Linked DNA regions of Alligator mississippiensis. The protein of the gene in region 3 interacts with the protein of the main gene of each other region in a pairwise test. Links are inferred from orthologs where the notes say so. Each region holds a gene or a part of one and is shown on either strand. Other genes may lie near its edges.

Evidence for each region.
Region 1: the proteins of RBPMS (region 3) and PER1 interact in a two-hybrid assay, tested with the Homo sapiens proteins (2 studies listed by BioGRID). The link is inferred for Alligator mississippiensis from reciprocal best matches to the Homo sapiens genes RBPMS and PER1.
Region 2: the proteins of RBPMS (region 3) and PIN1 interact in binary tests that used the Homo sapiens proteins (3 or more experiments, as listed by UniProt). The two-hybrid records come from large-scale screens. The link is inferred for Alligator mississippiensis from reciprocal best matches to the Homo sapiens genes RBPMS and PIN1.
Region 4: the proteins of RBPMS (region 3) and HEYL interact in binary tests that used the Homo sapiens proteins (3 or more experiments, as listed by UniProt). The two-hybrid records come from large-scale screens. The link is inferred for Alligator mississippiensis from reciprocal best matches to the Homo sapiens genes RBPMS and HEYL.

Annotation. Positions count from the first base shown.
Region 1 is NC_081838.1:25,070,074-25,077,582, reverse strand, and holds the start of PER1 (period circadian protein homolog 1), read right to left. Parts: upstream 3,002-7,509; 5' UTR 2,068-3,001; intron 1-2,067. Other genes in the region: VAMP2 (vesicle-associated membrane protein 2), read right to left, coding at 6,717-6,733, 7,151-7,202, 7,328-7,486. UniProt on the Homo sapiens protein: Transcriptional repressor which forms a core component of the circadian clock.
Region 2 is NC_081831.1:22,016,053-22,023,966, reverse strand, and holds the start of PIN1 (peptidyl-prolyl cis-trans isomerase NIMA-interacting 1), read right to left. Parts: upstream 3,012-7,914; 5' UTR 2,960-3,011; coding exon 2,902-2,959; intron 1,186-2,901; coding exon 985-1,185; intron 1-984. Other genes in the region: UBL5 (ubiquitin-like protein 5), read right to left, coding at 6,593-6,636, 7,190-7,227, 7,890-7,914. UniProt on the Homo sapiens protein: Peptidyl-prolyl cis/trans isomerase (PPIase) that binds to and isomerizes specific phosphorylated Ser/Thr-Pro (pSer/Thr-Pro) motifs.
Region 3 is NC_081825.1:169,286,539-169,293,594, forward strand, and holds the start of RBPMS (RNA-binding protein with multiple splicing), read right to left. Parts: upstream 3,020-7,056; 5' UTR 2,936-3,019; coding exon 2,873-2,935; intron 1-2,872.
Region 4 is NC_081829.1:4,798,433-4,805,394, reverse strand, and holds the start of HEYL (hairy/enhancer-of-split related with YRPW motif-like protein), read right to left. Parts: upstream 3,017-6,962; 5' UTR 2,754-3,016; coding exon 2,674-2,753; intron 1-2,673. UniProt on the Homo sapiens protein: Downstream effector of Notch signaling which may be required for cardiovascular development. Transcriptional repressor which binds preferentially to the canonical E box sequence 5'-CACGTG-3'.

The DNA.
Region 1 (7,509 bases), on a different chromosome or scaffold from region 3:
AGGGGAAACTGAGGCTGGGAGAGGTGCCCGGCTGTTCCCCATGCGGTGCTTGTACATGGAGCAGGTCCCAGGATGGCCCAACAAGTCCCCACACGGTGGAGGGAGTCTGGCAGAGAACCCAGGAGTCCTGGCTCAAACCCCCTCAGCCCCCACCCCGCAGACCCCTCCCAGAAGAAAACCCAGGCGTCTTGACTCCCCTCCCTCCATGTCCACTTTAACACATGCAGCCAGAGAACCAGGCGTCCGGTCCCTCCTCATGGTGTGGCACGTGCAGCCCCTTGGCCCTAAGCCAGGTGGGCACCACGTGGCCAGGACCATCTGGATTGTGCCCCCCTCCCCCCACCCCAGCTCCCTAATTACCCTCGAGATGGCTATTCTGAGCGCAAAGCCGGGCTATTGTTAGCTCCCTGCACTGCCTGTGGGGCTCAGCCCTCTGCCCAGGGGTTGCCCCCCCACCCCTGTCCTGCTGCCAAGAGCTCCCTGCCCCCACCCTGCCCCTTTGACTGGCCTGGCCTGGGTCCTGCAGCCTGGGCGTGTGAAGCGAAGCAGGAAGGGGCTGGCAGGGTGCCGGGGACAGGAAAACCCTGGGGCAGCTTTTGCCAGGACCAGGAGGAGGAGGAAGAGGAGGATCGGTACCAGCACACACATGGGCATGGCCCTGCCAGTGTCTCTACAGACCGGGGGGGGCGGGGCCGGCCCTGCCAACAGTGTGCACAGGGACCCTACCCACGCACACGCACGCGGGGCCGTTGGAGAGACGTGACTCCAGGCCCGGGCACACAGAAAGACATAGGCTCGGAGACCGGAGGGGGCCCTGCAGGCACAGATGCCGAGACGGGGGGGCCTTACAGGGTCCCTGCCAAATCATATGCAGAGACCAGGGGGAGTCCTGCTGGCGCATACACAAAGACGGGGGGGCCCTGCCAGCAGAGACCTAGAGACCAGGGACCCTGCTGACATGCAGAGACGCTGGGGCGGGGGCCTGCTGGCACAAACACGAGAGACTGGGGGGCCTGTGCCAGGATGTACACAGAGATCAGAGGCCCTGCTGACATGCACACAGACACTGGGGGCCCCTGCCATCAGAGACCCAGAGACTGGGGGGCCCCTGCTGACATGCACACAGACAAGGGCGGGAGAGCCTGCTGACATGTACAAAGACACTGGGGACACCTGACAGGTACAGACACCGTGGGCCCCTGCTGACATGCACACAGATATAGGGGGGACCCTACTGACCCGTACACAGAGACTGGGGATCCCTGTCATGCACAGACACTGGGGCCCCCTACTGATGCATACACAGAAACCAGGGGCCCCTGCTGACACATACTCAAAGATCAGGGGCCCCTGCAGCACGTACACAAAGGGCAGAAGGCCCTGCTGATGCACACAGATGGGGTGGGGGAACCCTGCCAGTGTGTACACAGAGACCAAGACCCCTGCTGACATGGACGAAGACACTGGGGGGAGGGGGCCCTACCAATGTATACACAGAGAGTCCCAGCTGTCCACAAGCCGGGTGGGGGGGAGTTCCCTGCATGCAGCCAGACCCCAGGGACATGCCTCATGAAAGCCCATGCACATGCATCCACACCACTACACGCCCCCCGCTCACTCGCCAGCCAGCCCCAACCTGTGGCCAGGCTCTTGCTTCAGCACTAACCCCCCCCCACCCCCAACATGCGTGTGAGAAGCATGTACAAAGCAAGACAGGCATGAGAGGCAGAGGACAAGGCCACTAGCTTGGGTAGCACGGGGGGGGGGCACATCCTGCTGCTGGTGCCAACCTGGAAACCCCCCCGCAAAGTGACGGGCTCCTGCCCAGCAAGGCAGCAGAGCCCCCAAACTCAGCCAGCAGGACCTGAGCGTGCCCCAATCCCTTGGGCTGGGCGGCCGCCCCACCTCCCCACCTCCTCCCCCGCCCCAACCGCAGGCAGCAAACAGAGCAACGCGGAAGGCTGGGTCTGCGCCGAAAGAACATCCTGTACCCAGGAACAAACAGGCGTGTGTCATCCCCCGCCGCGGGCGCAAGGGGGGTGGTGCTGAGGCACCCGGGATACTCACGGGGTGCTCTCGGGGCTGGCCCAGAGGTTGGCGCTGCCTCTCCGGGGGTCACAGGGCTGGAGCAGTGTCCGCGGGGGGGGCCTGAGTGCACGGGGATGGAGATGATTCTTCGGGGGTCCCAGGTGGGCGGGATGTCCTCAGGGGTCCCGTCACACGGGGATGGTCCTTGGTGTCCTGGGGGCAGGGGGGTGTCCTCAGAGGTCCCAGGTGTGGGGCTGTGTCCCCAGGGGTCCGGTCACACAGAGATGGAGGTGGGGGTCCGGGATGCAGGTGTCCCCAGGGGCCTGTCACACGAGGCCGGAGCTGAGTCCTCAGCAGTCCCAGGTGCGGGGGTTTCCTCAGGGATCCCGTCACACAGGGATGGAGCCGATTCTTCGGGGGTCCCGGCTGTGAGGGGGTGTGTCCTGGGGGGTCCCGTCACACAGGGATGGAGCTGCGTCCTCGGGGGTCCTGGTCACATGGGAATGGAGCTGATTCTTTGGGGGTCCCAGGTGTGGAGGGAGTGGGTGTCCTCGGGGGCCCTGAGCGCGGGGCTGCCTCCTCAGGGGTCCCGGACACGTAGCACCAGCACGGTGCCCTGTTACAGGGCACCGGAGCAGGGTCCACAAGGCAGGCACGGTGTCCCCAGGTCCGGGGGCCTCAGCGGTGGATGGCCTCTGGCTCGGGGGCCGCGGCAGGGGCCGGGGGGCTCAGACGAGCGCGGGGGTGGCGGAGTCGGGGCCCGAGCGTCCTTGCGCCAAGGGAGCGACGGGTGCAGTGAGGCGAGCAGGCGGCGGGTGCGACGCTGGCCCCCGCGTTGTGTAACGCCAGGCTGATGTCAGCACCACTTACACAGGCCGCACGTGGACTGTGGTGCTGCCGCCCCAGGTCTCGGGGCCGCCCTCATTGGCTGAGCCGGCGGCCAATGGGAGAGGGGCAGGTTGCATAGCAATGAGCCCAGCGTCATTGAGGAAAGACGAGGGGGGGGGGGGTTGCTGCTGATGCCAGGCGTTGGCATGGCAGCGAGGGGGGGCTGCTGCTTCCGCTGGGTCCTCGCCCACCCCCCAGGTTGCACCCCCCCCCGCCCCGCTCTAACCACTCGGATGCACCCACCCCCCCCCAACCACTGGGTTGCACCCCCCCCGCTCTAACCACTGGGTGCACCCCCCCCCCCGGCTCTAACCACTGGGTGCACCCCCCCCGCTCTAACCACTGGGTGCACCCCCCCCCCCGGCTCTAACCACTGGGTGCACCCCCCCCCGGCTCTAAGCATTTGGCTGTACGCCTCCCCGGCTCTAAGCACTGGGCCCGGCCCCTCGCCGGGGCCCTGGTGCGCGGCCGAGCCTGGCTGGCGGCTGCGCGGGGCGGGGCGGGGCGGGGCGGCGGGCGGGCGGGCACGGCGCCAGGGCCTGTTCGCGCACCGCCGCTGCGGGTGCCAAGAACATCGTGTTCCCGGCGTGGCCGCGCCAACCGCAGCCGCTCCCTCCTGGCGCCCTGCCCCGCGTGCTAATTTGTTCCCGACCTGGGACGTGATCCCGATGTGGGACACGGGGTGTGGGGGGACATCAGGACCCCCAGCGCCCCACAGCCCCAGGGCTCACATAGGCCGGCACAGCGCAGGCCGAGGGGTCGCGCGGGCTGGCCCAGCGGAGGCGCGGGCGGGCGTCGTGCCCTGGCCGGCCCTGCCCTGCCCTGCCCCGCCGGCGGTGCCGGGACAGGGTGTCCCAGCCAGGGCTGGAACATCGGGGCGGGGCGGGGCGGGGGGCGGCACGTGGAAGGCCACGGCCCGCGCCCTCTGCCCTACTGTGTGCGCTGCTGCCGTGGGAACTGGACGCGCCACGTACAGCGCCGGGCGCTGAGCCCGCACCCCGGCCACGGCTCTCGGGAGGGAGCGCGGATGCCTGGGTTTTCGGCGGGGCTGGGACCCCGGACACCTGGGGGGCGGGGGGGGAAGAGCGATGACGTCAGAGCCGCCGGCCCCCTTGCCCCCCGGTGACGTAAGCGGGGCTCCCGGCACCGCCCCCCCTCCAGTCCAGGAACCCAGAGACCCACCCCCCACCGCCGGTTGGCCCCGCCCCCTCACGTGGAGCCCCGCCCCCCACTAGGTAAGGAGGCCCTGTCCCCTGGGAAATGAGGCCCACACGTGGCCCCGCTCAGTCCGAAGGTAGTAGCCCTGCCGTCATATGGAGCTTAGCTTCACCCCCTGCATCCCCCCGCGCCCTCATTGGCCGCCACCGCGCGCCGACCCCTCCCCCCTCGGCGCTCATTGGCCGAATCCCGGGGCGGCCGTTGGCTTCGCCCCCTTCGCCCCCATTGGCCGGTGCCGAGCAGCATGCAGGAGCTCGCGTGAGCAGGCCCCGCCTCAGCCCGCCGCCCATTGGCCCGGGCCCGCTGGGGCCCCGCCCCCGGCCGCCGATTGGCCCGCGGGGCAGGTGGTGGGGACACGTGCGGCCCTGCTCACGCGGCCACGAAGCAGGGGTGGAAACGGAAGCGGAAGCTGGGGGCGGAAGTGGCCCCTCGGGTGTCTAGGTTTGCGCGTGGCGGAGGCGGGCCGCACTCGAGAGCTCAGGCGTCCGCCCCCCCCCTCCCCCTAGCCCGGGCACCAGCTCCCCCGACGCGCACGATCCAGGTGTCCAGGCCTCATCACACCCCCTCCCCCCGCGCGACCTAGGCCCCCAACTCCAGGGACTCAGGAGTCCTGGCCCCGACTTCCTCCCCAGGGCAGGCAGCCAGGACCTCCCCCAACTGCCCTCCCCGCCCCCTCAGGCATCCAGGCCCCAGCCCCCCACTCCCCCAGGGGTCCCAACTCCCACCCACCAACCTGGACTGGGAACCCAGGTGTCCCAGCTCTCCCTGCCCGCTCCCCCCACCCCCAGCTCGCCAGGGTGAGAGTGGCTGGTCCACAGCCCTAGGTGGGGAGCCCAGACGCCTGAGTTCTCTGTGCCCTGGACCCTGCACTTCCATGGGTGTGTGAATCCCGGATGCTTGGGTTCAATGTGCAAGTGTATGTGTGTGACAGTCCCTGACACTTGGGTTCTGTGCATGTGAGAAGCCTTAACTCCTAGGTTCCACGTGCACGTGCGTGTGACTATTCCCGACGCCTGAGATCTGAGCACCAGCTTCCCCCCATGCGCAGGATCCAGCTGTCCAGGCCTCAGCACCAACCAACCAACCCCCCCCACCCCCGGACCTAGGCATCCGGTCACGCTGGGTTCTGGGTGTGCTTGCATGTGTGAATGCCAGCTGCCTGGGTTCTACGTATGAGAAGCCCAGAGGCCTGGATCCCATGTCTATGCTTGTACGCGCATGAGAGTCCCAGACGCCGGGGTTCTGTGTGCACAAAATCCCGCACACCTGGGTTCCATGTGAACGTGCGCAAGTCCCGCACACCTGCATTCCATGTATGCACATGTAAATCCTGGACACCTGGGAATCCTGGCTGCCTGGGTTCCGTGCGTGAGGGGCCCGGACGCCTGGGTTCCGTGCGTGAGGGGCCCGGACGCCTGGGTTCTCCAGGAGTTGAAGGGAGTCCAGATCAATTCAAAGGCTTCCCCCAAACCTAGGCAGAGGGCAGGGACCCCTTCCTGAGGCTGGAGCAGGCCCCAGCTGTAGTTGGAGGACAGTGATGGTGCTGCCAGGGTAGGCCCCAATGCTGCCACCTCTGGCTGAGGCAGCAGCATCCCCAGGTGGGCTGGACAGAGGGACCAGAGGCAGTGCTCTCCACAGGACACCAATTTATTGTACATTTTCACAGCATCACGTCGCTCCCGGCTCCTCCGCCCCTGCCTGCCTGCCTGCTGAGGGGGGCCCCAAGAGCAGGGGGGTGACAGTGACACCCACCCCCCTGCTGGGGGCCCAGCCCCCCTCTCCCCCTTTCCCTCCGCCTGCCCAGGGGGTCCCCAGTGCCACGTCCCTCCACGCAGCAGCGGCGGGGATGCCCCTGGGCTCAGCCCCCCCGGAGCGCGGGTCCAGCGAAGTCATCACAGGGACAAAGTCACGAGTCACATCTGACATCTGCTAGGGGGGGGGCACTCACCACCACAACACACGAAGGGGGGCAGGATTGGGGCACCCCCTGCTGGCCACCAGGGACCCTAGTGCCCCCTGACATTGGCCACCAAAGGATTAACAGGGGACCCCCCCAAGCCAGGCCAGCCCCCCAACACCGGGGGGGGGGGGTGGAATGTGACCCCTCTAAAAGGGGTAGTTTGGGCAGGCTAGATCTGTGTGGCAGGAAGAAAATGCCCCCATTAAGGGGGTGGGGTGCAGGGGGGGCTTCCCCCACGCCCCTTGGTCTAATCAGGAATGTCACAGAAGCTGGGGGGATGGGGAGGAGACCGCGGCCCGGCAGGAGATGCAGCCACCTCTGAGGTGGGACAAGGGGGGCAGTATCATGGAACCCCCTCCCCCACTAGGGGGGTGGCTGGGGGGGCGGGGCAATTAAAAGACAATTAAAAACACAGCAGGGGAGGGGAGGGACACCTAAAAACCTATTAATAAATCTACAAACGGACAAAATAGAGCAGCTCTATGTGTGTATAAATAACCCGGTATGTACAGACGGCCAGGGGGGGAGGGGGGGCGCGGAGGGGGCACACGCACACGCACGCACACGCACGAGGGCTGGAAGAGACGGCCGGGCCAGGCTGGGCCGGCACCACACGGGGCCTCTAGGTGCTGAAGTACACTGCAAGCAGAGGGCAGCCGTCAGCTCCACGGGGCAGGGCTGAGGTACATGCAGCTGGGTCTGGGGTGGGTCCTGGCTGAGTATAACAGGGCTGTGACCCAGGGTTGAGATGCAGCTGGCTCTGGGGCAAGTCATGGCTGAGTATGACAGCCCCTGACCCAGGGTTTGATGCAGCCGGCTCTGGGGTGGGTCCTGACTATGTATAAAAGGGCTGTGACTAAGGGTTGAGATGCAACTGGCTCTGGGGTGGGTCAGGCCGAGTATAACAGCCCCTGAGTCAAGGGTGAGATGCAGTCAGCTCTGAGGTGGGTCACAGCCAAGTATAACAGACCCTGGCCCAGGTCTGAGATGCAGCCAGCATTGGGGCCCCTGCCAGGGCTTCCTGGACCACCCCCCTCCTCCCCCAGCAGGACTCACCGATGATGATGATGAGGATGATGGCGCATATCACCCCCAGGATGATCATCATCTGCAGGAGAGAGACCGTGAGTGCAGCAGGAAGAAACGGGGCTGAGTCGGGAGTGAGGGGCACTGGCAGGGCTAGGGGGGCAGGGGGCTGCAAGTCAGGAGCGAGGGGCTGCAGCGGGGCCGTACCTTGAGGTTCTTCCACCAGTACTTGCGCTTGAGCTTGGCGGCGCTGGTCTCAAACTGGGAGGCGCCAGCCTGGAGAGCGTCCGCGCGGTCATCCAGCTCCGACAGCTTCTGGTCCCGCTCCAGCACTTTGTCCACGTTCACCCGCATGATGTCCACCACCTGCGGGGCCGGGCAGGGCGGAG
Region 2 (7,914 bases), on a different chromosome or scaffold from region 3:
GATATCCTTTATTAGACCAACCCAAATGGTTGGAGAATAGTTATTAAGCAAGCTTTCGGGTTCAAAAACCTGACGAAGGGTTTTTGAACCCGAAAGCTTGCTTAATAACTATTCTCCAACCATTTGGGTTGGTCTAATAAAAGATATCAAATTCACCCAAGGAACCTTGTCTGCCTACAACTTCAAAGCACTTCACAGAATATTAACTCATTTTCATAACAAGTCAAGACTGACTGCTATAGATTGGAACACAGGCCATGGTGCAAAGTCAGGAGACTTTCACCACAGATCCTCTGACCCTTGCACCGAACTCAATGAAGAGTGCCAACAGTAAACCAGAATTAGAATTCTGCCCCACAAGGCCCAAATTCACTGATTAGGAAACAGGATAGTTAGAAACTATTGCTGGCGCTGCAAAGGAAGATGTATCTTGTGATGGGTCCCATATACAGCAGGAAAGGCATGCAATTCCCTCACTCCCAAGAAATTTACTTGTCCACAGATATTCAAGATGTTTATACCTGGGGTTCAGTCCCAGGCAGAGATTCATCAAAATTTACAGTAACTGCCACCAGGACAAACAGGCAAATAAATATTAAACAAAAAAAGGAAGATGTTTAAGGAGCACTTGTTTTAGCATCAAATAATTGCTTTATTTTTTAATATAAAAATATACATTTACAAAGAAAATACAAACAAGCCTCTGACAACATTACAAAAACATAAAGGGGGAAACTGGCATGAGGATGGAAGGGGGAGGGAGGGTTCTATTCCTAAGTCATTTAGTCATGATCAGCAAATCATGCAGCAAAAGTGTTTCTCCAAGTGGCTGTGCTACACGAAAGTCCATGTTCAAACCACTTGCCTCAAAAAACTTTTATTTAGAGAGTTCAGGCCAATAAGCCACTTATTTCTGTGCTCATTTTTGGCCTTAACATGACTTTCCCTCACAATAACATCAATCTGCCTCCTGCTTTTACTTGCCATTTATAAGCTCCAGTGCCTCATCTTTGGTCCGTGTGATCTTTTCCTGCCTCCATGATGAGGGCCTTCTGGACTGGTTGTGTTTCACCAAAAGATGTGAGCAGCGCACTTTGGCCGGCTCCCCCTGGCCATTTTTCCCACCTCCGCTGGGGCGCTCCCATTGGCTGGCATTCGTAATGTGGTTGAAGTAATACACACGGCCTAGAAACAAGAAGGAAAAGAAAACCAGGTCTTTAGAAGATCCACAGCAATAGCCTCTTGCTTATCGCAGCAGATAAATTCTGGATTTCTGCAGGTGGGTGAAAATGTGGATGTCAGCTCACTGCAGAATCAGTGCAGAGGCTGGGAATACTTAACATCCCCATAATAACAGGCTGTCTCAGCATTACAGATTTCAGTCTATTAGAACTCTCTACCAAGGTTTTCTAGTGAGAAACAAAGATGCCCTGAGCAAAGCAGCTGCTCTACTCAAAACCAGACTCTTGACACCATCTCCCTTTCCAAAGTTGGGCAAGTCACTTTTACTTCAGTGAAAGTGGGATCAGGGTCTATGTCAAAAACTCTTGAAACCTTCCCAAAACAGCAGCAGCTTAAGTGCTGGCTGGCTCATTTGTAAAGCACCGATTATTCTTATGGAAGCAGCAAGTGCCTGCAGCTTTCCTGAGTCACATGACACCAACACATCTTCAGAAGCAGCACAGCGACATAGTGGAACTCTGCCCATTTTACCCCTGCAGCGAAGGTGAACGGTGCCGAGTTTCTGACACAGGGGGATTGTGTTTCATTCCAATCCAGCTTGCAACTGAGAGCACAAAGCATGGCAAAAATCCCTATCTATTTAGACCGGGTTTTTGGTTGTAGCTGTGTTGGTCTAAGGTCATAGACAGGCAAGGTTTTTTGAGTAAATGTGGTATCTTTCATTAGACCCATTGAGTACTCAGTTGGTCTAATAAAAAACATCACATCTACTCAAAGAACCTTGCCTGCCTATGTATTTAGATACATTTAGGGGGTAACAGTATCCTAATAAACAGATCCTTCAGTTAACAGGGCACAGTTTTCAAAGCAGCAATCACCTCTAACTATGCTGGGTGTTACACAAACAAGGGACCCCTGACCCTGAACTGACCTTTGCAGGCTGGAAGTGAGGAAGACACTCCTCCAAAACAAATCAGCCCTTTCTTTATCAGGAAAGGGCAGGCTTTCCCAGAAGCAGCCAAGAGTTTGGGGACACTGCTCTGAGATCAAGACAGCTAAAGCAATGTCCCAGCACTGCTGGAGCACCAACTGTAAAGGGTCCCCAACCCGCAGGATGAGGTCCACTCATTCATGCACTGGCAGGAGCTCAGACTCTGACTAAACAAATTGTGAGCACCTCCGACATCCTAAGAGGTGCCAGCCCGGGTCCAGAGCTCTGGGGCACTGCAATCACTGGACGAAAACCCCGACAACGGCCGGGTCTCTGTACACCGGGAGGGGGGGCAGGAGCAAAAGGCAATTCTAGTCTCACGACAAAGGGGACAAACCTCTGCTTGGCCGGGGAGGGGCCTAGACCCGCCTGGGCTCCCGAGGGAGCTCCGGGATCAGCGCGCGTTTTCCAGAGCCGCCCCCCCGCCCCCACGACGCATATCCCTCCCCAGAACCTCTCCCCCTGCCGGCGCGGGGCAGCTCCCCGGCCCCTCCCCCCGCACGAGGCGAGGAAAGGAGCGAGGCACCGCGGGGTCGGGCCCTGCCGGGGCCACAAAGGACCCACCAAGCCCCATCAAGAGCAGAGCGGCGCGGCCCGGCCCCACAGCCCGGCCCCGCCCTCCCAAGCCCCGCAGGGGCCCGGCCCAGCCCGCCCCGGCCTCGCGGCCCCCCAGCCGCAGCGCCCGGCCCCGGCCCCGCGCGGCCGAACGCCCGACCGCGCCGCTGTACCTGAGCTGCGGCTCATGCGCTTCTCCCAGCCCGCAGGCAGCTTCTCCTCCTCCGCCATCTTCCCTGCGCGCGGCACCTCCTCCCAGCCTCTTCCCCGCTGCCGCACGCGCTGCCACCCATTGGCTAGAGGAAGGCCCCGGGGCAGGATGCTGCGAACGGCCATTGGCTCAGAGGGGATCGTGGTCCCACCTCCAGGTCGCTCATTGGTGGAGAACACACTCCCCTTCCCTCCCAGCCCTGATTGACTCGGAGCGCTAGGCCGCAATAATCTCGGAAGAGATTCAGGTTCTGGTAGCTCGAATGTCGACGGCGGCCGGGGAGGGACAAGGGGCGTTGCGGAACGCCTGAGGAGTGCCGGGGAGCCCTCGGGGCCTCAGTGCAGGCGGTGCCAGGTGCCCCGGTTCCCAGCCGGGGTCGGGGGTGCCTTAACCGCGGGAGCGCGCAGGGGCGCCCCCAGGAGGCTAATTGACCGTCCTTGCAAAATGCAAATGACCCAGAGCCACGGAGCAGGCGCTGGTGCTGTGCAGGCCGGGTGCCTCTCGCGGCCTGGGCTCTGGATACGGCCTGGACCCCATCGCCAAGCCGCCCAGGTTGGGCCGCGGCGAGACGCAGGCGAAGGCAGGGGAGATTTGCAGCAGTCAGAAGCAAGAGCAGGCTGCAGCAGGTGCTGCAAGGGGCCAGCCAGGCCTACGGGAGCAAAACGGGCTGTCCCGATGACTACCACTTACTAGCTCCTGCTGTTACTTAAACTAAGGTTCAAGTATGAAGGACCCTCTCCAGCCTGTCCTTCACTGTCTCTAGGAGAGCCGTGCAGGTCGGAAGGCCAGGGAGGTTTGCATCTTCCCCAGACTAAATGCACAGATGCAATCATAGGTGCACAAGCTTTGCTCAGCAAGAGATGAAGTTTATGGATTTTTGATTTAATCTATGAGGTGTAAAGTGCAAATGTACATGCCTTCTGATTCATTGTATTGATCAGGCTGGAGCCAACTGGCTGCTCCCTGTGGTGGGGGGAGCTGCAGAAATTTGCATTTTGATAGTTTCCCCTCTGAGTCGCTAGTAGCTCTGCACCTGCTGCCTTCCTAGTGACATGCACCTTTTCTAGCTAGATTCATAGATGTTAGTCGGAAGGGACTTCAATAGATCATCAAGTCTGACCTCCTGCATAAGCAGGAAAGAGTGCTGGGTCTAGATGACCCCAGCTAGATACTCATCTAACCTCCTCTTGAAGACCCCCAGGGTAGAGGAGAGCACCACCTCCCTTGGGAGCCCGTTCCAGACCTTGGCCACTCGAACTGTGAAGAAGTTCTTCCTAATGTCTAGTCTAAATCTGCTCTCTGCTAGCTTGTGGCCATTGTTTCTTGTAACCCCCGGGGGCGCCTTGGTGAATAAATCCTCACCTATTCCCTTCTGTGCCCCCGTGATGAACTTATAGGCAGCCACAAGGTCGCCTCTCAACCTTCTCTTGCGGAGGCTGAAAAGGTCCAGTTTCTCTAGTCTCTCCTCGTAGGACTTGGTCTGCAGGCCCTTGACCATACGAGTTGCCCTTCTCTGGACCCTCTCCAGGTTATCCACATCCTTCTTGAAGTGTGGCACCCAGAATTGCACGCAGTACTCCAACTGCAGTCTGACCAATGCCCGATAGAGGGGAAGTATCACCTCCCTGGACCTATTTGTCATGCATCTGCTGATGCACGATAAAGTGCCATTGGCTTTTCTGATGGCTTCGTCACACTGCCGGCTCATGTTCATCTTGGAGTCCACTAGGACTCCAAGATCCCTTTCCACCTCTGTGCCACCCAGCAGGTCATTCCCTAGGCTGTAGGTGTGCTGGACATTTTTCCTCCCTAGGTGCAGCACTTTGCATTTCTCCTTGTTGAACTGCATCCTGTTGTTTTCTGCCCACTTGTGCAACCTATCCAGGTCTGCCTGCAGCTGTTCCCTGCCCTCCGGTGTGTCCACTTCTCCCCATAGCTTTGTGTCATCTGCAAACTTGGACAGAGTACATTTCACTCCCTCGTCCAAGTCGCTGATGAAGACATTAAAGAGTATCGGTCCAAGGACCAAACCCTGCGGGACCCCACTGCCCACACCCTTCCAGGTCGAGACCGACCCATCCACCACGACTCTTTGGGTGCGACCCTCTAGCCAATTCGCCACCCACCAGACTGTGCAGTCATCCACATCACAGCCTCTTAACTTGTTCACCAGTATGGGGTGGGATACCGTATCGAAGCTATGACATTCCTTTTGGCAATTTTTCATAAGATACAAAAGTAAAAGCAGGTGTCCTGCCTCAATTCCAGTCCAGGCAGTTCCTAATTTCCCCCTGCAGTTTTAGGTACAAAATTCTCTGCTTCCTGTTCTAAGCCGTGATCCAATTGAACAAATGCTGCATGTCCACAGGAGGCTGCACTCATGTTGATCTCAGAAGAATACCTGAACTTCCTGCTTAACCCATCTCCAAAGTTAGGGTTGAGGAATATCATGATTAGGAAAGCTTGCCTCACTGGGCCTTCTGGTTAAAAGGACTCTGAAACAGTCCAAGACTCACTACTTTCACCAACAGGAAAATAAATTACTTAAAAGGCACCATAAACATCCATATTTGTCAGTGGAAAGCTTTAAATAAGAAAGAGAACAGCTGTTGTGAAGAGAGAGTCTCATTTAACATCCCTGCCTCTGTGCTTAGGCTGACTCAGAAATGCACAGAGAGGCTGCTTTCTCTCATTGGCCATTTAATTCTGGAAAACATCAAGACAAAATCATCTCCTGCTGCTGCCCTGAACTTCAATCTCAGCTGATTAAACATGCTTATTAACTGCAGGCAGCTGCTCTACTGCACGTGACACACATTACTGAGCAGCACAGAAATAAGCTCAGTAAAATGAAAGAGTGGGTTTGGGGGTCTGCACACACATTGAAATACTCCTTTTAAAGTGTTTTGTAATGGATTCCTCTCATTCATCCCAGTCTCACTCCCAATCTTGTTGCTTTGGCTGGGATCCCAAGGCAATTCACATCGATTGTGTTAAATGAGCAGTGCAGAGTGGGATTTTTTTTTGAAGTATCATTGAAAAACAATAGTGCGTAACACACAATGGTCAGCAGCTCCATTAGAGGCATGTAATGGGAACTGCTTTTTGCATTTGTCAGTCTAGATCATACCTTAACCACTGCACTGAAGTTTCTGTTGAGAATAAATTACCACTCCCCTCCCCTCCCCCAAAAAAACAAACAAAAACCCAGACTGCTTCTAAGTTGAATTAAATGCATTTGCTCTGGGTTTTCAATTCTCAACCAAAAATGAGTCTAGCCTAGGAGATGGCGATAGAGCAGCTTTCATGTTATTTCAGAAAGCTCAAGGCTGTCTTCTACTAGCTATGTTAATTAGGTTTGCTGTGGAAGTTACCAAGAAAGAGATTTTGTCTGCCTTAAAGCCATGAACAGGACACTGCAACTGTCAGGAAACATTTATTACAAACACAAATTTAAGAACATAAGCAATTTTGTTATATGTTTGCTGCCTGTGTTATTGCCAAAGCCAAATAGCTCTGACTAAACTATATGCACAGCTGGAGCTTTTCACTTGCACTTTACACTAAATAAGGAAATATATAGACATGTTTAATATTAGAAGGAAAGCAGAAAGTGTGCTGCCTGCCATATACAATTGCAGCTCAAGTCCAAACTACTGATAGTATAGCTCCAGGTTCATGCCATCATGGATTTCATCTGAAGAGTAAAAGTTAAGGGAATTCCCATGGAAATATATTTAAATACAAACAGAGGGTGTTAGATATGAACATCTGTCAGACCAACGATTCAAAAATCAACAACAGCAGGAAACTTCTTAGATAAGTGCACAAGTTCTCAGCAACATGATTCTTCTTATTCCATGTCACAACCTGGATAAACTGCTGGCCTCACAAAAAAGAGTCTGAGACTCATGTGCTGCTTGTAAGTGCTAATGTCTGAAGCAACAAACTGGGAAGTTAATCCAAAGGGTTTTTTGTGTTTGTACCAAGAGATTTCCTAAATAATCACCACTGTGCTACATGACTGACCCGTTACCATTAATCAGTGGCCAAGAACATAAACAAGACATCTCATTAGTGACAAGCAGCAATATCAGATAAGGAAGGGGTGCTGTCTGACTGTGTACATGCAATGTGTCTCTCTCTCAAGTACTTAGAGAGTGACACCTGTTTTCTAAAAGGTTTGCTTTAAAAGATGCTGATGTCTTTAAAATGCATTTTACCTAGACCACTCTGATGCTTAAGGATACAGTCTCCCAGTGAAACGTGATCCTTGAAAATGGTGTACCTGCAAGAGTTTGAAAGGAAGTTAAAACACCTAAGCTCGTTACAAGGTTCAATAAAAGGAAATGGAGCCAATAAAGGGACTACTGTTGTATTATCAATATTTCCCAATAGTAATTATTTAATAAAAAAAAAAGTGAGCAGTTGAGATATGAAGGCCAGAGTTTCATAAGCAAAATGTTTTCATAGCCAGCAATCATCAAACCCAAAAAGCATGGAAGGGAAGAGACACCCTAGGTGCTGTTACAAGACAAGAAGCCTTCATTTCACCTACAGGATAAATACAAAGAGCTCTAGTTCAGGGTATAGAAAGACTTCAATCCAATGTTTGCTAAAGGTTTTAACTGTATTTCAACTCCTGCTAACCCATCGTTTTTGTTTCAACTTCTAATAAAAAATCTCCCTCACAGCAACCCCCTCTTCCCCCAACATGTCACAGCCCACGGCCTTGATGGACACGCGCTTCTGGGGGAGCAGCTGCAGTCAGCACCACAAGGAAATGGTTACAGTTAAAGACTGGATCAAACCCGGGGCCCATCAAAAAACACCCAGGACTTGGGCAACCTCCCTGGGTAGGACAAAAGGAGGAACTTACCTGCTGGGGCCAAAGCTGGCAGCCGCCAGGAGCCCTTGGGCTGCCCAAACCTGACCCAGTCCCACACTCACCATTTCTTCAGCACGATCTTGTCCC
Region 3 (7,056 bases):
AGGTGTGCTCTCTATATAAAAGGAGCAGTATGCTTCCTTGGAGTCCCAGATTGGTTCAGGAGAAGGGCGACTTGAGACCCTGTGGGTAAAGATATGGAGGAGAAGGGGACTTGATGGTAGGCATTTAGTACAGACTGCCACACCAGGAAAAGGACCTGGACCTGGAATTTTCCAGTGAACTGATGGAAGCTAGGAGCAGGGCAGGGTAGGCAGGGGGGTGCAATAGATCCTGGGATGCCAAAAAGTGATCTTCACCATAAAAAGGTTGGAGACCACTGCTCTAGGAAGAGACTTGTGAATCCCCATAATAAGATTATGCTAAATGTGAATATTCAAGTACTTTGGTAAGACTGTGCCTTCCCTGGAGATGCACCAGTAGCACATGTGGACATGTGTACACGTGTATAGACATGCCCACGTGTATAGGCATGTGATGCGTATGCGGGTGCACGTGCACCCCCCGAGCGTGGCGGTGCACCCCCTACAAAAAGGCAACCGCTGACACTGCTGGTGGTGCCTGTGGGCGGTCGCTGCTTGACACCCCCCTCCATCCAGGCCTTCGATACGGTATCCCACCCCATACTGGTGAACAAGTTAAGAGGCTGTGACGTGGATGACTACACAGTCCGGTGGGTGGCGAATTGGCTAGAGGGTCGCACCCAGAGAGTCGTGGTGGATGGGTCGGTTTCGACCTGGAAGGGTGTGGGCAGTGGGGTCCCCCAGGGCTCGGTCCTTGGACCGATACTCTTTAATGTCTTCATCAGTGACTTGGACGAGGGAGTGAAATGTACACTGTCCAAGTTTGCAGATGACACAAAGCTATGGGGAGAAGTGGACACGCCGGAGGGCAGGGAACAGCTGCAGGCAGACCTGGATAGGTTGGACAAGTGGGCAGAAAACAACAGGATGCAGTTCAACAAGGAGAAATGCAAAGTGCTGCACCTAGGGAGGAAAAATGTCCAGCACACCTACAGCCTAGGGAATGACCTGCTGGGTGGCACAGAGGTGGAAAGGGATCTTGGAGTCCTAGTGGACTCCAAGATGAACATGAGTCAGCAGTGACACAAAGCCATCAGAAAAGCCAATGGCACTTTATCGTGCATCAGCAGATGCATGACGAATAGGTCCAGGGAGGTGATACTTCCCCTCTATAGGGCGCTGGTCAGACTGCAGTTGGAGTACTGCGTGCAATTCTGGGCGCCACACTTCAAGAAGGATGCGGATAACCTGGAGAAGGTCCAGAGAAGGGCAACTCGTATGGTCAAGGGCCTGCAGACCAAGCCCTACGAGGAGAGACTAGAGAAACTGGACCTTTTCAGCCTCCGCAAGAGAAGGTTGAGAGGCGTCCTTGTGGCTGCCTATAAGTTCATCATGGGGGCGCAGAAGGGAATTGGTGAGTATTTATTCACCAAGGCGCCCCCAGGGGTTACAAGAAACAATGGCCACAAGCTAGCAGAGAGCAGATTTAGACTGGACATTAGGAAGAACTTCTTCACAGTTTGAGTGGCCAAGGTCTGGAACGGGCTCCCAAGGGAGGTGGTGCTCTCCCCTACCCTGGGGGTCTTCAAGAGGAGGTTAGATGAGTATCTAGCTGGGGTCATCTAGACCCAGCACTCTTTCCTGCCTATGCAGGGGGTTGGACTTGATGATCTATTGAGGTCCCTTCTGACCCTAACATCTGTGAATCTATGAATCCACCAACACCACTGGCGGCCTCTGAGGGAGGTCCACGATCACCACTGGCCGCCACCAGCAGTGATCATGGACGTCTGCAGGTGGTCACTGACCGCTGCTCAATGCTCACCACCACCCCATCACTGCCACCAGCACCGCAGTTGCCTGTGGGATCTCCACGCTTACCACTGCTGCCAACGCTGCTGCTGCCTGCTGGAGCTTGCCGTGCCCCTCCAGCCACTGGGGCCATGTGGCATTCATGGGCATGCCTACAGGCATTGCTGCTGAGCCAGTTCCAAAATGACCCAATTGCTTTTCCTTAAACTGGTGAGCACCCACCCGGATGAAATGACAAACCAGAAAACCTCAATCCTCCAAGCTTTCCTGCAGAGTTGGGGGAGATCAATGTCACCACATGCAGCCCTGAGCTGACCCCCAAAGACACAGCTGCTCCCCAGAGGGCAGTTCCTCCAGCCTAAACACTAATAACACTGATATGCTTTTCCTGTGCTGTGAAATCTCACTCACAGCACAGGGGGTGCCAGACACATACATTCATGTGCAGGAAACCTAGTAGTGTGCGGGACATGAGAACGATACCAGTTCCTAGGACTCTTGTAAGCCCAGGGCACTGCACTGTGTATCTGGACATCACCAAAAAATGGGGGAGAAGGGAGGTACTGGTTATTTGACTGGCTAAGCAGAATCGTGCTGCACACAGATTTCCTGGCCTCGCCTGCAACGGAGTGGTCTTCAGACCCCGGAAACAAGCCACCTTTCAAGAACCGCAAACGGGTCTGAGAAGTTGCACTTCTCTCCCAACCCACCAGCCCAGGTCTGGGTCCAAGCAGCAACAGAGCCGAGGGGGGCCTGAGAGATCCTTAGGACTTCTTCAGGGTCCCCAGCCTGTGCTATACCAATACCGGGATTTTAAGAAAACCAAACGACAAATTAGGTAGGCGAATCTGGATGCCACGTTCCCCGAATAAGAATGTCACGGGCTAAAGGCAAGGAGAGGCTTCTCCTGTCCTGCCTTCCCCTGCCCCCGCGGAAGGGCGGCGCTTTCGAAGTGGCGGCGCGGCAGGGCCGCGGGGCCAGGCTGCCCGGGGCTGAGCCGGGCCAAGGGCCGCTCCTCGGCCCTGCCCCGCGCCCAGAAGGCGCCCCAGCCCCGGCCGCGCCCACGCCCCGCGGCAGGTACCTCCTCCTCGGGCGGGCTGGCGTCGGCGGCGCCGCCGTCCCTGTCGGCGGGCAGGCTGCTCATGGTCCGGCGCTGGCTGGAGCCGGGCTGCGGCGGGCGGTGCTGAAATGAGCCCGCGGGCCGGGCGGGGCGGGAAGGGGCGGCACGCACGGGGCCCCCCGTCGGGGCGGCGTCCACAGCCGCCCCGCGGCCCCCACCAGGCAGGGGCTGGGGCGGGGCGGGGCTTGGAGCCGGGGCGTCTCCGCCGCGCCGCCTGGGCGGGCAAGCCTGTCCGCCGAGGGGGCCGGACCCCCGCGCTGCTTGCGGCGGGCACGGCGCGGAGGGACGGATACCCGGGCCGCCCCGTCCCTTTCAGCCAACTTCATGTGGAAAAGCGACACCTGGCGCTGGTTGTTCAAAGACCCCCGCACCGGGAGGGGAAGCGGGCAGGGAGAGCCAAGAGGACAGAGATGCAACTGGACCTGGAGGCAGCGCGGAGGGCTGCAACAGGATCCGCAGCAGCGGAAGCGACAGCGACAGTGAATGAACTGAGAATATAAACCTCAAATCGGTGCCTGGACTAAAGGACTGCGATTGGGGTAGGTGAGGGTGGAGGGTGGGTGCGCAGGGGATTGGGTGCGTTTATTGTAACGGGAAGTGCGGGTGTCTTAATGTGGCTTTAAGATGTGTGATGGAAAGCTTATGATAGAGGATATGTATATATGTGTATGTATGTATGTATATGTATATATATTTTAATTTTTTAAAAGTCCCTTTTCTAAAGTATCCCGCCCCTCCCCCATGCCCTGCTGCCCCACTTTCAGCCCCAAGCCTCTCTCCTTTCTGTGTTGAAATGACGCTTTCCCTTGAGTGAAGCACTGGAGCCAAGGAGGTGTGACCCACCAGCTTGCAGCTGAAGGTGGGTGAAAGGAAGCTGGAAATAAAGTGTGGAAAGGTGCCAGGGGTGACTAACCTACCTGGGGAACAACCCACCTGGGAACATGGTGAGCTCCCTGAGATAGAAAACCTTTCAGGCCAGTTTGGGTGTCTCTTGCAGGCACATGCACTCTGGCCCAAACAGAAACCGTGGGCTCCAGCAGGATTCCTGGGGCATGCTTTGGCCTTTGTTACAAGAGACCAGACTAAGAGGATCTGCCACAGTATGCCCTGCTGGGCTTCAGATCTAGAAAATCAAAGCTGAACCAAGCCTGCTATACAAAAGGTAACATCCCAGAATTGCTACCCACAGCAGGCAGTTGCAAAAGGATTTGATGGGGGTGTCTGGAGCAACTGAGGGGGGAATTAATTTAAATCAAATGTTAGCTTTAATATAGTTTTCTCAAAGGAAAAAAAATATCAAGCAAGACATTGGTGTACAAGTACCTGGCTCCAAGCCAGCTGTCTTCAGAAAGCTGCATTCCAGGTGGAAACACCTGTGTTACTCTCTGGCGCTCTGCCACTGCAGCCAATTCTGTATAGAGGACGTAGCCTCTGTACAGGTCTACTTCCTGGGTTAAGACATTTTCTCTACCTGTATCCAGGTTCATTCCCACATCAGCTTCACAATACAACAGGTACCCTCATTGCATGCAGGCTCCACCTGCTGTCTACTCATCCCACTGAGCAGGGAGCAAACCCAGAGAAGAGGTGGCTGCACAGCCTGTGGGACAGAGGAGAGACCAGGATGTCCCCCACTGCTCCACTGGCAGTGTGAGAGAGGGAGTCCTTCCAATTCTCTGGAGCCATAAGAGATGCTTCACTGAAATGGGTGAGGTAGAACTGGGCTAGACTCTGGGAGATTAAGAGTGAGCCAGCAGAGACAACGTCACCCTGCAGAGCTGGCTGCCATCAGAATAGGAAGAGACAGACATGACAAATGGCTCCACTGCTAAACAGCAGGAGCTCGGATGCCAGATGGAGGGGGGCTGTACCTGCTCTGACACATTCCCTTTCATCCCTGGGGATCTGGCTTCTCTGGCACTTTTTGGTATCATTTGCACAGTGGCAAGGCCAACAGAGACCCACTGGATTTGACTGAGATGACTAAAGCACACTAGCAGCTGTTTGTGGCCAAGCACCCCCTGCAGGAGAGACAAAAAGGAGGCTTTCAAATCAAGAAACTTTTATCCTGTGAACTTGTCTTTCCCAGCTAAAGCACCTATTCAGTACTGGCCATTGGGAGCATCTACACATTCATCGATGCTCAGTAGTTACTGACCATTTAGTTTAGTACTTCCTTAATGAAGTACTAACTAAATGTGCAGTAACTACAGCTACTGTGCGGTAGTGCTGGCACATGGTTTTTTTGTGATGGTTACTGCATAGTAGCCTAATAACACTGTGCAGTATGTACCTCATTAGCATGGTTTTTAACCGGCATACTACTGCTCGGTGTTATTAGGCTACCTCACAGTAAGCGTCTTGTGTAAACACGCCCACTAATTAACCTCTGCATACCAGACTGGCAACAAACTACCCCTATGATCCCCGAAATTGTGGGTATGGATTTCCTCCCATGCCTTTGTGCTGTTCCCATTAACAAATAGATAAATAAAGGAACCAAGGAGATTGTTTCAAGGGCAAAACCTTTTTCTGAACCTAATTCAGTTCACATCAGGATACGCAGCAATGTGTGACCTGTCCTTCTGCTGCTAACCACCAGCCCTAGGAATGGAAAATCTCACCACCAGTGTTTCATTTCCACTGGACTCCTTAATGCCTAGCTCATTAACAGGCCAGTAATAACCAGCCCTCTAAAGCAAGTACAGTATTCTAGGTCTGCATACAACAAAGCAAGCTGTGCTTTAATGTCTTTTGCCATTTCTGAACACTAGCTAGTGATCTAGAAAATGCCCCCAGATTAAATTGCTTGAATGGTTACACTTTGACCTTGAAGCAACACAAGTCAATTTGCTTACATTACGGACAAACCTAAAACAATTTTTTTTGCCGTATATTTCCCTACTCTGGCGAGTGCTGAAAGTCAGGAACACCACAGATGTGTAGGACAAAGTTCAGCATTTGGGATTTTAAATCTGAGAAGTAAGAAGTACAGATAAAAGCAAAGATAAAAGCAGATATGCTTGACAGAAGAAGCAGAGTGTACTGAGATAGCTATCGGGACATGTTGGTTACAGAAAAGAACTCGTAATTAAACTGCAGGATAGGCACCTAGGGCTATGTCTTACCCTTCTGAAAATCATTGCGGAAACAAAAGTGCCAATAGCTCCATGTCTGGATAAGGGGTCAGAGTCACAGCATCTGCCCTTGCAGTTGGATCTTGGCCACTCGCTCTGCTGCTTACACATGAGCCAACACAAAACCCAGCACCTTCCCCATCAACTGTTGTTTCTGCAGCTTGGACAGAAGTCCAAAGCAGTAAAAACTAATTTCTTCCACTAAAGTAAGTGGGTCGGGCCCTATAGCAGGGGTGGGCAAAGTCTAGCCCATGGGCTGGATCTGGCCCATGGCAAACTCCATTTCCCAGCAGCCCCTGCCCACATTGCTGTGTCCGGTTTCCATGGAGACCCCAGCAGTGGCAGTGCTGTGACAGTGCATGGCCAGGGTTTCCATGAAGACTGGCTCCAGCAGCACTGGCAGAGAGTGCAGCTGGACGAGGAGCTGCTCCAGGGCTGGAATCTCACGGCACTGACGGAGTGGTCTGAAGTTGGGGCAGAGCCACTATCTGGCTCTGTGTGGTCCAGAGCTGTGGTGTGCAAGCAGCGGATCCTCTGGACCATGTTTTCACCACTGCCAGATCTCAGCCCCGGCCGTGGATCAGGTCCCTGCCTAATGTGCCCTGCCCTGTGCCCATACTATCACGGCACCGCCACTACTGTGGTCTCATGGAAACGGGCCACAGCAACATGAGTAGGGGTTGCTGGGAAATGGAGTTTGGTTCCTGGCTGGATCCACCATTCTGTCCATCCCTGCCCTATAGGGAGAGCCTTTAAAATGAATACATTAATCCAGGGCTGTCCAATTTCTGAGCAGCTGTGGGCTGCACCATCCCATTGCCACATTTCCATTGGCCACACTGCCCACCAGTTGGGCAGGAGGAAACTGAAACTGGAGAAGACCTAGCCTGGAGACCCTGACTACCTTCAGGGAGCTGGGGGAGAGGAAGGGAGAGGAGGAAGAGGAAGACGGTGATCACAACAGAAGCAGAAGCAGGTAATGAAGGGAGGCAGTGATCACCAAAGGAG
Region 4 (6,962 bases), on a different chromosome or scaffold from region 3:
TTTTACTGAGGATGCCTCTGGGAGCTGCAGGCTTGTTTCTCCTGCCATGCGATAGACCCACAGTGACTGGGTTGCGCAGGACAGTATCCTCGATTAAGGGAAACAGCAGAAGAGTAAACTTTGAAACTAATCAAACCAGTTATTCCCCAAAAGAAGAGGTGTTATAGCCCTACAAAGGTGCCACTCAGCTCTGGGGGAGCAGGTGGGATGGGAGGCAACATTTCCCAGCGGCGACCACTGCCTGCTGCTGAACATCCCTTGAGGGCACTGTTCTGTCACCACCAGCGAGTCCCAGGCTGCAATGCAGGGGCTCAAGGAAAAGACAGTTACAATGGGAAAAACGGAGGGAGGGTGACCTTCACATTTTTCTGTGTCTGAGATCCAAGGAGGAGACAAAAGACCCATAGTAACAGTGCAGGAAGCAAGACAGAGCAGGTAAAGATGAGAGAAAGAGGTCAGATCGAGTTTTTCTGGTATAAGCAACGTAGTCTATCAACCTAGTGTCACCGTGCTGAGTATCTCTTGTACAATGCGTGATAAAAAGAGTAGGATAAGGACACTGTGGGCACGTTTGGATTGCAAAGGAGGGATATCCTTTGTAATGGCAGCCAGCTGGGAAGACACAGTAAAACCTCCTGGACGCGGTACATTTGACAGGACAGCTACACAAACCCTCCGCTTGAATGATCTTCCATGGTCCTGGGCAGCTAGAGGTGGTTCATCTTTCCACCACAGCTCCTCAGTTCCCAGAACAACAGTGCTCTGCCAGCCTATTTCCATCGCTTGGGAAATCAGGAGCGAGGATGCTAAAATCCAAGCACAAAACTCCCGGGGCGCTTGAACAGCAAGCAAGAAATACAAGTCTGGGAAGAGGGTGATAAGCTCACTCTACCAAAGTGAAGTATTTTTCAGTTTGGCAAAGCATTTTCACACTTCAAAAAGTTTCTACAGGCACAGCGTCCTCTGCACAGCAGGCCAAAAGACAGCCCAAGCTTGGTCCATTAAAAATACATTTTTGTTAGGCACGTGCCAAGTGTTCCCACAATATTTTTCTTATACACGATAACCCATCTTTCTACTGAATAGTGTCTCACACCCCTGTTGTCTTTATGCTGTTTGAGCATCTGCTAGGTGTGATTTCTGCATATGGATTTGCTGCATTTGTGTGTCAACGCCTACATTCATCTCAGCATCTCACAGACTCACAGAGAAGTTGGTCTGGAAGGGGCCTCCAGAGGTCAGAATCTACCCCCTGCTTGAAGCAGGATTACGCTTATCCAAAACACAGTCGATATATCATTTATAAACCTGCATGACAGCACGTGCCCAATACGGACAGCGCAAGGTGCTATGTATATACATGGCATAGCGCGCCTTGTGCCTCACGAGCAGAACTAACTCACCGCAAAGGCAAATGCAGTGAAACTCCATTCACAGCGAAGCAGACCCCCCCGTACTGCTTGAATGCAATGCAGATTTATGAACTGCAATCCTAGACCCTGCTTTGCCAGACTCGACTTCTTTCTAAAAGGTTTCATTAGCACTGATAAATGTGAATGATTTATGGAGAATTAGGCTGAGTTTTTGGAGGGTTAGGATGCATGCATTTCTTCTGGTCAGGCTTCCTAATATTGTTCTGGTGGCTATTTAATGAAGAGAGACAACACTTTGTACATGTGTAGTCACATCTCTCCCCCCTCCAGGCCCCCCGACCACTCTGTAAACCAGTGGTTCTCAACCTCGTTAGGCTCGAGGCCCCCTCGGAGAAGGCCAACTCTCGGTTTTCACTCTTTTTTTGCCTACGGAAAAATAACAGAGCAGCTCTTCTGTTGCAAAGAACAGAGAGACCACAGCGGGGCAGGGAGCTCTTGATCCCCGTTTCAAATCCTGCGTTTAATCTTGCCCGTCGCGGTTGCGCACCCCACCGTGCCAACGCGGCGTGGCAGCCCGCAGCACCCTGAAGGCCTTCGAGGCACCCAGCGGGAGAAGCACAGCTGTAAATATTCATAGATGTTAGGAGCTGGAAGGGACCTCCCGAGATCATCTTGGGCAGGAACAAATGACACCTCACAGCCGGGGCTCCCTGTACAGCAGAGAGCCAGACTGGCCCAAAGTCCCTGGGGGAGTCCTGGCAGCGGGCACTCCCCGTGCCGTCCTGCACCCCGCTCCCTTAGGGGCAATTTTTGCTCTTCCATCAATGCAGCCCTGGGGTCGTTTCAGGGACGCACGCGCTGGGTAGCCGTGCTGGCCCGAGCCAAAAAAGAAATGCAAAAAACTCTATTCTCCTTGGTTCTGAGCTGATCCCTTTCATCAGACCCACTAAGGAACCGCAAACAGATCTCCGCCGGCTCACGCAAGCCTGAAACCTTGCGGAGAAAAGAGAATTGTTTGTGGTTGTTGCGGTGTTATATTTTTTTGCCATTTCTTAGCGGGTCTGATAAAAGGGATCGGCCTCGGGGTTGTGACCTCTGCAGATGGAGAGCCTGGGGGTCCCTGCGCACGCATCCGGCAGCCCGGACAGAGGCGCTGGACCCCCCCGGGGGCCGATCCCCTGGTGTCGCCGCGGGGCTGGGGTGCGGCGAGCGGGGGGCAAGGGGACGCGGGCAAGGCGCGCCCCGCGCGGCAGTGGCAGAGCGGCCCCTCTCCCCCGGCCCGGCCCCGGCCCCGGCCCACCTGTACTCCTCCTCCCTGCCCACATCGATGGTGCCGTCCGACTCGGTGTCCGACGAGCTCTCCTCGCCCAGCCGCTTCATCCTGGGGCGCTCCCGGCTGAGCCCGGCCGCGGGAGAGGCGAGCGCTGCGCTGCGCTGCGCTGCGCTGCGCTGGGCAGAGCCGCCGCCGCCGCCTCCCCTGCTTCCCTGCCCACCCCCTCTCCCTGCTCAGCACGTCTTTAACCTCCCTGGTTAATGGGTTAATGAGACATCTCCCAGGAGTGACGGATTACTCGGCGGCTCCGGCTTTCCCAGGTTCTCATCCCTCCCCCCAGGCTGGTTGCAAGCCCAAAGTCTTCCTGTAAAAGGAGCAGGCTGTGTGAACTGTCTCCTGTCCCCCTCTCCCCTCGCCCACCCCCGCCTGGTGATTGGTCTCAGCAGCGGTTTAAAGGGACCAGTGACCTCACTGGCAACAGAAAACCGTGGGAAAGAGATGGGCCTGATAAAGCCTGGAGTTGTTTCAGGCTAAAATCAACATCCAGCCCCACACGCACACACACATGTCTGCTGGGCGCTCCAGCGCCGCTGCGCCGACTTATGATTCAGATGGAAACCAGCTTAGCTGCTGCTCTTGACTGTTTGAGAAAGCGTTTTCAAAGGGCCATTGACTGGGATTAGTCAATGGGCAGAGGCCAAGGGGAAGGAGGGCACAGGCCAGCTGAACGCTTGCAGATGCCCAGGGCTGTCTTTGGGGGATCAGGCGGTCCTGGCCTTCACCCCAGCGAGCTGCAGGTCAGCTCGGGTGTACTGCACGGACCAGGCCAAGTCAGCTCCTGTCCAAGCCGCTGTGGCATCTGCCCTCCGGGACGGTGGTTTCCCTTTGCACAGCGTTGTAAGCGCCAGACCCTGCTCGTCGTCAGGGGGCTGCCGGTGCGTTTTAGATGCAGTGAAAAAGAAATGCAAAAATCAAGAACTCTTGGTCCAGAGACAACGCCTTAAAAGGTCTCATCTCTGAACCAAGAGCGCTAGATTTTTGCATTTCTTTTCGTCTCAGACCAACACAGCTACCAAATAAGTCCCTTTTAGATGCAGCCACATTTGAAGGTGTTTGTTTAAAGCGTGGCTATTTTAACATCCATGCACATTTCCCATTTTCTGGCTCATTCAGTGACCTCAGAAAACACCTGGGTGCAGCCCAAAGGCACGTGACAGTAATTTTACTTGGGTGCCCAAATGCCACCCATTTCAGTGGGAATTAGGCACCTACACCTTTGAGGGTCTGAGCCTCTGCTCCTGAGGATCCTGACCAACTATAACAATCCCCAACCAGCTGCTGTGTGTTTGCTAATGAAAAGGAGGTTTATAACAGAAAAATATTGCCATACAGGTTGAAAACATGACCAACAATGAGACATACACCCCAGTGTGTGGGTACAAAAGCTTTTCCTTTTCCAGTGCCCTTTGCACAGACTCTTCACGAGTGGCTCATCATATGTGATGAAAACAGCTGCGCACAGCTCATGCCAACACAGCCCGCATGACAAACCATGGTCTATTCTCTCCTGTGAGAAATCACGGAGCCAGGTGATGAATTCCTTTTCTCCATCTATCTTTGGCTCCATGGCCTGCACTCTGATCACTGATTCTGCCAGGACCTCTAACATTTCCAGTCCATAAACTGCTTTTCAGCCAGTTGCAATTCAGGCAAAACAATCTGCCAGCACATTGCTACTTTCCACCCCCCGACAAATAGGGCATTTCCCCTCCACTTACGTATCCTGCCCCTCTGATCAATGCAACATTCGGTAGAGCTGAGTAGGAAATGGTTTTTCCATTCTGTGATGGTTTTTGCAATGGTCAAAATAAAACTCCGTTCCCACAGAAGGATACAAAAACTGAAACCTCAAAAATTTTCATGAGCCAAACATTTAGGGGAAAGGAAAAAAAAATCAACCCAATTTTTATTTCTGAAATGTCTCTTCTTGGACTTTTTTTAAAAAGTGCCATCATTAACTTATATTTCAACATAAAAAGTCATTTTGAGCCAGAATGTGTAAACCTTTAATCCTTTTTGAAAGAAATTTGGAGTCAAATATTCCTTCAAACCACACCTTCCCTGGGAAAAAGCTTGGCTTTGATGAATGAGCAAAAGAACCAGGGCTTTGTTCCAATGGAGAGAAGCTGGGATTCCTCACTATCTAGCAGAACAAGGAGGCTGAGACTAGACTTGAGAGGCCACAGGGCACCAAACTTTAAATATAGTGTCTTAGGATTTATAGACAAGCTCTTTTATGGGGCTTCTAAATGAGAGATGTAGTTGGCTGTGTTCGTCTGAAGCCAAGTAGAAGACAGGGTAGGATTTGTACCTGCTAGTCTAACCAAAGTCAATATATACCTAGCACAAGCTTTCATGAGCTGAAGCTTACTTTAGATGTAGGTACGTATAGATCCACACACGTGTGCACACGCACACACACTCGCTCGGGTTAGTGCATAAGGTGCAAGTCTACCCTGCCTTCTCAATGCATCTGTTATCCATTCTTCCTCCCTCTGCAGTTGGGCTTATAATAGCAATAGTAAATGGGTAGGCACAAGACATTTGTAAAACCCTTTAACGCAGGGTGACAATAAAACGAGGGCGAGGGAAGGTTTGCTGCTACACAGAGACTTCGTGGCATCTCTTTGAGCTAATCGGCATGGCTTTGCTGTTGCGGAGGAAAGAGGCCAGGTCCAAATGAATGGTAGGGACCACTGGCTGGACGGCTTGTCTTAGTCTGAAGTCAGCCAGAAGGCAGGGGCGACGTGCATCTTTACAGACTAACTAAATAAGATACATATATCTTTTCAATCACGATGCACACCTCATCCCTAGGATGAGCGTCGTGTTATTACTTTGAGAGCGACCTCCGCTACTCTCTTCTCCGCGGAGATCCAGTAGTTAGTCATCCCAGCATAGCCAGAGGAATGTCTCCCAAGGCCTGCTTTCTATTTCCATGGGATGGAGCGGAGTTATTCCAGCACCAGCCCTCATCCCGTCCAGCCACAAACAGAGCGTGAGCCAGCCGTGGAGAGACCTCCTTCTTCATGAGAAAGGAATTCACCATCTAAATTCATTCCTTTTTGGGCTTTCACTAAGCGTCGCTATCTGGGTTCAATTGAAGCATAATTGGCAACATGTTTTTCTAGGATTACTCTTCATTATGAACAGAGCAGAGGCCAGGCAGCCCACTTCTCCTGTAATCGGATCCATATTGCTGCCTGTGCTCCTGGAGAGCAATTTAGAAGCGCTCCTGGTCAAGCTTGGGGGATTGTTAGTGTGATCCCAGCCACCCCAGGATTAGCTGCACGTTAGAGCGGCAGAAACAGGCACAGCACTGAGCCCACTCGCAGGTCACTTCTGCAGAGACTGCAGGGGAGGATTAAAGGGAATTAGCTGCGTGACAGGGAGGCAAAGGCTTGAGTAGCCGTCGTTCATTTTGTCTGGGGAGGGAGCGCGTGCAAATGTGCGCGTACGTGACCCAGGAATGGCACGCAGAGAAGTGGGAGATGGGCTGTGAGCTCACATATCCGGATGCCCCTTCTGGGGCTGTTTGGAGCTGGGCTGCAGGAGACTCTCATCCAGGCTCAGAGAGCAGACATCTGGGTTCTTACAGTGTTCCCTGCCCGTGGGCTAAAGGCGTAGTGCAGAAGCAGTTGATTTTTTTGATTTTGTTTTCATGGTATCAGGGGCCCAGTAAGCCATGAAAAGTTCATGACCAACCTCTGCCCAAAGCTGATTGTCATTTTGACATAACTATAGGGGCCTGTCGCTGCCGCAGCTTTGGCTGCAGTGGGGTTATTCTGAAGAAATCTCTCTTGAGGTTCCCAGTTTGTCTGACAGAAGACTAATGACTGGATTTGAGAGAGGATGCTTCACACAGTTCAGAAGGAGGATTATAGATTGCAGCTGAGCAGAGCTGCCCTGGCAGGCTGACAGGGGCTTTGTAATTACACAGCTCTCAGGACACGAAGATATCAAACGGGACTCAATGCACTGACCGAAACGGGAAGTAGCCACAGCTCCCAGCAGCCTGCCAGATGAAAACCTCAGTCCCCAGGGCCATTTCCTTCCTTGTTCCTGTCACCAGGCAGATCCCCATTCACATAATGCTGTGTCCAAATAGCGGAGCAGCTACCCCACAGCCTTTTGAGGACCTCCTCCTTCCGAAGTGCTCTTCAATCTCATGCAACACTTCTTACAAGCTCTCTACTTCAAGTGTTGCTATTGTACCCAGCACTGTCCTAGGGCCTGGACAGATGACATGGCTGTCA